Linked DNA regions of Tribolium castaneum. The protein of the gene in region 2 purifies or fractionates together with the protein of the main gene of each other region. This does not show direct contact. Links are inferred from orthologs where the notes say so. Each region holds a gene or a part of one and is shown on either strand. Other genes may lie near its edges. The genes, in order: HDAC3 and runt-related transcription factor 3.

Region 1 (4,293 bases), on a different chromosome or scaffold from region 2:
TACAATTGGCTGTTGTTCCTAGGTTAAATCATTACCTCACAGATTTGTTCTTATTTCGCTTTAAATATTTGTGACCAAGTTTTAACGGGTTAAACAGCTTAATAATTTTAATGCTTTATGGAAAAAGTTAAAGTTGAAATGGCTTGAAAAAATACAGTACCATAAATAAGTCATGTACAACACTCCTAATAAAATTTATCAAAAAATTATGTACCATTTTTTAATAAAAAAAAAATGACCAAAAAATGGGCTTTTTCATTTTATTTTTTAATGACATAGAAGTTTTTTTTTCAAATTCATATACAACGTTGGGCAAAAGTATGGAACCAAGCATTTTATGCTTAAACTATGTACCTTACGAAAAAACTAATTATTAAGTCATCGACTACTTTAAAAATGTGATAATTTTTTAAGAATAAAATTTTTTGAAATTTCTTTTAGTCTACGTGTTATTAATTTTTTTTTCAAATGGCTTCCTCCTATGGCGATTTTTTTGGTAAAAGATTATGTTCTAAAAATAACTTCTACTTTAAAAAAATTAATTTTAAGCCATGTTTTTTTTTTCATAAATTATTATTATTATTTGAACTTAATTTTTTTATAGAAAAATAAACAAATCACGTTTCTAACCGTTTTAAACTCGGGAATGATTCAACGTTAGAACAACACCCAGTTGTAATGAAACTATTTTGTGCAATACTTTTCATAAAAATTCAATTTCAAATTTTGCGTTCAGTTCCACTTCAGACCTCCTTAATATAGTTCAGTGGCGCAGCAAGGGAGATTGTTGGGGGTTGAGAACATAATCATGCAAAATAATTTAAGTTGCAGTAATAAAACAAAACTTTCCAGACAATCATTGTAGACATTCGATTTTTTCTACTTCCGAAAATTCCGAGAAAAGCAACCCACAAAATCCATATTTTCGTTATATTTCAGAAAAATCTTCGGAGAGGTTTTTTGTAAAATAAATGCTACATTTCTGATACCATGGTAGAAATAACTTTTTGAGTAATGACGTTATTTTTTATGAAAACCGACATTTTTAACAGATTACTGTTTTTGATAGTAGGTACACTCCCTTATCTTTCTGGTAATAATAAAAAAATAAAAAAAAATAATATTATCTACACAAAACAAAAAATACCAATATTATTTACCGATTATTTTGCATATATTTTTGAAAATAATTAAAATAGAAACACTTAAACAAAAATATTAAAACAATTACCACCTATAAAATAAGGCAGGAAACAGACAGATAAAGCTTTTTGTGTGAAATTCTTAATAATTTTTGTAGCTACAAAATGTGAGCTATACAACAAATAACCTTGAATTTAAGACAATTTTTTTTACATTATTTTTGCCCCGAACAACATTTCCGAAAAAACATTCAGCAACATATTTATTTTTAGTTAATTTTAAGTGCTACAAGGAACTAAAATAATCATATGCAGGTAAAGAGCTCATTTTTCATTTCTGCGTCGTTATTAGTTTACTAATGAAAAACATATTTTTACGAAGGTAAACCCCCATAAACTCTATCTCTGGCTGCGCCACTGGTATAGTTGTTCAACCTTCAATTGAAGAGTACAGGGGAAAAACAGGAAATAACTACTTTTCAAGAATTTGAACTAATAATGTCATGTAGTTTTTACTATTTTTTTAGCTCAAGTTATAGCCCTCCATAGTCAAAATTAAAACTAATTAACTAAAAAAAGTTGTTTTTCTTTGAATGACGTTCGTCATTTTTCCCTTATACTTATCAATTTAAAAATTACTTAGTAATGGCCTCCAAATACTGGCGACTGTTTGCGTTTTCCTGCCTTGTGACCACCTCAGGATGTAGGGTAAAGTCGGGTGCGAAAAACTCCAAATATTCGGTGTAGGGCAATTCATTTGAAATTTGTTCATCCACAAGTAACGAAGTTTCGTAAGTCCAACACCTCGCGACATTTCTCAGCGTATAACCGCCACCTCCAACCACCAAAGTTGGAACATTCAGACTCTTGACGAACTTAACACACTCCCCGTGCCCTTTGGTACTCAGGGAGAAACACCCCAGGCGGTCGTTGGCCAAGGAATCGGCCCCACATTGTAGTACAATTGCAGTGGGTTGGAAAAATTCCATCACGCTTGAAATGACCGGCTTAAAAACCATCCAATAGCTGGAATCGTCGATTCCTTCCTTCAGCGGCACGTTGACGGAGTAATAACGGCCACTTTCCGCCCCCACTTCGTACATATCGCCCGTGCCCGGGAAGAAATAATTGCCGTATTTGTGGAAACTGACCGTCATGACCCGATCAGTGAGATAGAAGGCTTCCTGGACGCCGTCTCCGTGATGCACGTCGATGTCAATGTATAAAACCCTCGCGTGGTACTTGAGCAATTCTAAAATCCCAATCACAATATCGTTAACGTAGCAGAAACCACTGGCTTCGAATTTCTTGGCGTGGTGGAGCCCCCCTGACCAATTAACAGCAATGTCGCAGTGGTTATTGTTCAGTTTCATGGCCCCCTCGAGCGACGCCCCCGTGTACATGGAGCAGAAGTCAAACAGCCCCCAGAAGACCGGGCAATCGTCCCCCACGTTATAGTGACTCAGATGCTTGGTGAACGCTTGGATGTTCTGCGGCGTGACTTTTTGCAGAAAATCTACAAGTGTGGGGGTTAAGGCAAGTGAAATTACCGTGGTGGCTTTACCGATGTATTCGTCCGAGTGGAAGCGACACATGTCGTGGGCGCTGGCCTTGTAAGGCCGGTAAATCTGCATGTGCTTGTGCAGCCCGTAATTTAACACTAAGCTGTGGATCACAGACAGGCGGTGGGGCTTCATGGGGTGCCCCGTCCCGTAGTGGAAGTTCCCCACGTCAGGGTTGAAGAAGTAAGACACTCGGTGCTTCGACATCACGCCGATAGCTCCTTCCACACGTACAAAAAATACAAAAACAAAACTATAACAACAAGGCGTTTCGTCAGCCAAAACCTATCCTCCGGCATGCTTCCGGATAGCCCCCATTGTGGTTTCTGATAAAACAGCCCCCAAACAAACGTGACGTTTCTGCGCCTCACTACCAACCGAACGACGCAAAAACACCCATTAAGAAATGGTGTTGTCGTAAAGATTATTATCATTAATTACAGAACATATTTCACAAATAAAACTCTGGACGCAATGTTGTTTTTGAGAATAAAGACGAAATTTGCCCATTTGAGTCTGTTTTAAGCGTTTTATCCCCCGATTTTCGTCGAGACTTTGTCACCAACTCCAAAACCAAAATCCCCAAGTTTGAAAATGGGCATCAAAGACCTGTGGACGCTTCTGGCCCCTTTCGGGGAGCGTAAGCCCCTCTACGAGCTGCAGGGCAAGACCGTGGCCATCGACTTGTCGTGCTGGGTGTGCGAGTCGCAAAACGTGACCGAATACACGGTGCAACCCCGCATGTACTTGAGGTTAGGTGACTGACACCGGTTCAAAATTTTGATTTTTTTTTCCAGAAATTTGTATTTCCGCACTTGTTACTTGCTCCTAATGGACGTAAATGTGGTGTTTGTGCTCGAGGGGCGCGCCCCCGAGCTCAAATACAAGACGATCGCCGCCCGCAATGCCCTGCAGTTCAAAGGGGCGAAGCCCAAAAATGGGGCCAAGACCAAGGACAGGTCGAGGTTTAATCACACGTTGAAACGGTGCGAGGAGATGTTGAGTTTGTTGGGGCTTGCGTGTGTGACTGGGGAGGGCGAGGCCGAGGCTTTGTGCGCACAATTGAATGAAACTGGGGTAAAAACATATTTTTTTTTCTAAGGTTCAAGGGGTTGTTTTAGCTCGTCGATGGGATTATTAGTCAGGATTCGGATTGTTTCGCGTATGGGGCACGTGTCGTTTATCGCAATTTTTCCATCTCGCAGCAGGGCAATCAGGCGGCCAAAGGGGGCTCTGTGGACGTTTATGACATCAGTGTGGCCAATGAGCGACTGAGTGAGTCCCCGAATTGCGAATGATTGTTTGATTTTTTTATTTTATTATTATTTTTTTCTGATCAATCCATCAATTTATTATCCAAATATACAATACAGGAATTATTTCGACAATTTTTAAAATATCTGGGAACCTACCAGAAAGATTACTTTAATTACACTTACAATTTTTTTGGTACATCAGAAAAATATTTATCAAAATAATTGGCTAATTTTTCACTGTTGCTAATTTATAAATTACCCACTTTAATAGGGATATTCTCAAAAAATCTGCTACAGCCTATAACTCTTTACATTTCATAGCTAAGAGAGCTA
Region 2 (2,850 bases):
CCTTCGCCTTGCCGTCGTCGGACTTGACCTCGTCATCCACCCCTTCCGACTTGGTCGATCCGTTGGGATTGTGACCTAGTTCGAGAGGCGACGAGCTCCTCGGCAGCAGGGAGTGGTGTCGCAGGTTCATCCAGGCCCAGTCGTGCGGGTAAAACTGCGAGTAGAACCACTGGCCGGGGGGCGGAAGTAAAGGAGCGTTGAGGAACAGGCTGGCGGCTAGTGCGTTATTGAACAATTGATTGTTTTGGATTGGGGGCGGAGGCGCCCCGGGAAATGCCGGTGGCGGCTGCGGGGACGGAGTCGGCGATGCTGTTACGGATATGTCATCTTCAGGTGGCGAAAGCGGGGCGCCTGCGGTTGTGAGAAGGCCCACTTGCGTGGGGGAGGTCTTGGGGGAGGTGGTGCTGTGGGCCGGGGTGCAGTTGATGGAGATGGGGCCCAGGGAGGTCGAGCTGGGCTCTGGAAAAAACAAGTTGATTATGAAAACTTTACTCGCATTGTGAAACAAAAATAAGTCTCAAAAAACATTGTTAATAAAAATCATGGCCACTGCGAATAGTAGGATTTGCGCACGTCCACTATTTTTGACTAGAAAATACACAAATTTGGTGATTTTTGGAGAAATTATGTGCATTTTCGGTCAAAAACGTGCTGAAAGTCACAAAAAAGGTAAAAACAATTTTAAATTGTAGAATCAACTTATACGTCCGGTATCTTTTAATGAAATCTGGTGAAAAATTAGAAAATTAAATTGAAAAAAAGTGGAAGAAAATGTTTTCTCGAGCTAATTCGCCGACTTTTGAACTGAATGTATTTGCGTTTTAGGTGAATTATTGCAATTATATAGTTTGTAATGTTGATTTATTTAAAAAGTTTGTGTTAAAATATCTGCAAAACACGGTCAGTTCCTGGGGCTTGGTGGCTCAGTGGTATAAGCGCCACTTACGACGGGGGAGGTCGGGGGTACGAACCCGGAGCAGGGTAACAATTTTTCTATAAAAAAAAGTAAAGAAAAGGTAAGTAAAACAACACATAAACAAAAATAAGAGACTGAGAGAACACATAGACGTATAAACGTAAAGCGGAGCATAAAACTGACAGAAATAAGAAAATAATGCGGCAAAAGGTAAAAGTACGTAAAGGCGCTAAATTGTAAACGTAAGAACACATCTCAATAAAAGGAAAATACTTTTTGTTTTGCGAGAAAACAAATGAACGTAAAGGTGAAACATAACTTCAAACTTTTGCGTTGAATCCTTAGATGACCCACTTCTTAAATTATAAAAAAATATACGAAAATATTTAATTTATATCTAAAAATTTTTAGTTAACTGAGTTTGTTTAGTAAAGTTCCGAAAAACATTGTCAGTAAAAATCATGGCCACTGCGAATCCGGTAGGATTTGCGCACGTCCACTATTTTTGACTAGAAAATACACAAATTTAGTGATTTCTCGAGAAATTATGTTCATTTTCGGTCAAAAACGTGCTGAAAGTCACAAAAAAAGATAAAAACAATTTTAAATTGTAGAATCAACTTATACGCCCGGTATCTTTTAATGAAATCTGGTGAAAAATTAGAAAATTAAATTGAAAAAAAGTGGAAGAAAATGTTTTCTCGAGCTAATTCGCCGACTTTTGAACTGAATGTACTTGCGTTTTAGGTAAATTATTGCAAATATATAGTTTGTAATGTTGATTTATTTAAAAAGTTTGTGTTAAAATATCTGCAAAAGACGGTCAGTACCTAGGGCCCTGGTGGCCCAGTGGTATAAGCGCCACTTACGACGGTGGAGGTCGCGGGTACGAACCCGGATCAGAGTAACAATTTTTCTATAAAAAATAAGTGTAGAAAAGGTAAGTGAAACAACAAGTAAGCAAAAATAAGAGATTGAGAGAACACAAAGACATATAAACGTAAGCGGAGCATAAAATAATGTGGCAAAAGGTAAAAGGCGCCAAATTGTAAACGTAAGAGCACATTCTAATAAAGAGAAAATACCTTTTGTTTTGAGAAAAAAAGAAATGAACGTAATGGCGATTCATAACTTTAAACGGAAGCGTTGAATTCTTAGATAACTCATTTCTTAAATTATAAAAAAATTAAACGAAAATATTTAATTTATATCTAAAAATTTTACAATAGCCAAATCACAAATCAACTTTTAAATCAAGTTCACAGTTACTATATTTTTATTTTAGTGTAAAAAAATGCATTACTATATTACCATCATTTCTAATACGTAGAATTTTATTGCGAGTGTCATTTGAAATAAAAAAATGAAGTACTTACCGTTTGCTATTCTCGGTGAGGTGTTAATTGGACGGTCGAGCGCTGCAAACATATGGGGAGGAAAGTGCGGGTGGTGGTGAGGAACGAAGGGTCCTGGGGGGTACGGATGTCGCCCCCCTAGCATGGCCCACTCGGGCGGGGGCCCCGGAAGTCCCGCCAGATGATGAGCAATGCCTGCAAAAAAAGCCATCATTGCGCCTTCTCCCGAACTCAAATTGATTAATTAAGACAAATGGTGGTGTCGGCAAAAACGTCATTATCCTCTTAAGTTGGCAAAGTCTCCTGGTGCGCGTATTCAATAATAACCCTCATAATCTCATATTTCCTGCAAACAATAAGTTGCAAACTAGAATCCTGGGAGAAGGCAGCGACCAGGATCTCGGTATAGATCTTGATACTAAAGGTTAGCAGCAGTCCTGTGGCGCACCAATGAGGTCTGAGGCAGCCCCGCCCGACCAATGAGGCGTCTTGGAATCAACCCTTTCGCTCATTACTTCCGTTGCCTTATCCCCAGCGGCACGACTCCGCTGGCCGACTGCAACATCATGTGATACGTTC

Evidence for each region.
Region 1: the proteins of runt-related transcription factor 3 (region 2) and HDAC3 purify together in Homo sapiens (affinity purification with western blotting; 3 studies listed by BioGRID). This does not show direct contact. The link is inferred for Tribolium castaneum from reciprocal best matches to the Homo sapiens genes RUNX1 and HDAC3.

The regions. Positions count from the first base shown.
Region 1 is NC_087401.1:11,246,496-11,250,788, forward strand, and holds the start of HDAC3 (histone deacetylase 3), read right to left. Parts: upstream 3,074-4,293; 5' UTR 2,912-3,073; coding exon 2,707-2,911; intron 2,659-2,706; coding exon 1,782-2,658; intron 1-1,781. Other genes in the region: flap endonuclease GEN, read left to right, coding at 3,299-3,456, 3,502-3,781, 3,826-3,979. UniProt on the Homo sapiens protein: Histone deacetylase that catalyzes the deacetylation of lysine residues on the N-terminal part of the core histones (H2A, H2B, H3 and H4), and some other non-histone substrates.
Region 2 is NC_087399.1:3,616,798-3,619,647, forward strand, and holds part of runt-related transcription factor 3, read right to left. Parts: intron 2,467-2,850; coding exon 2,293-2,466; intron 460-2,292; coding exon 1-459.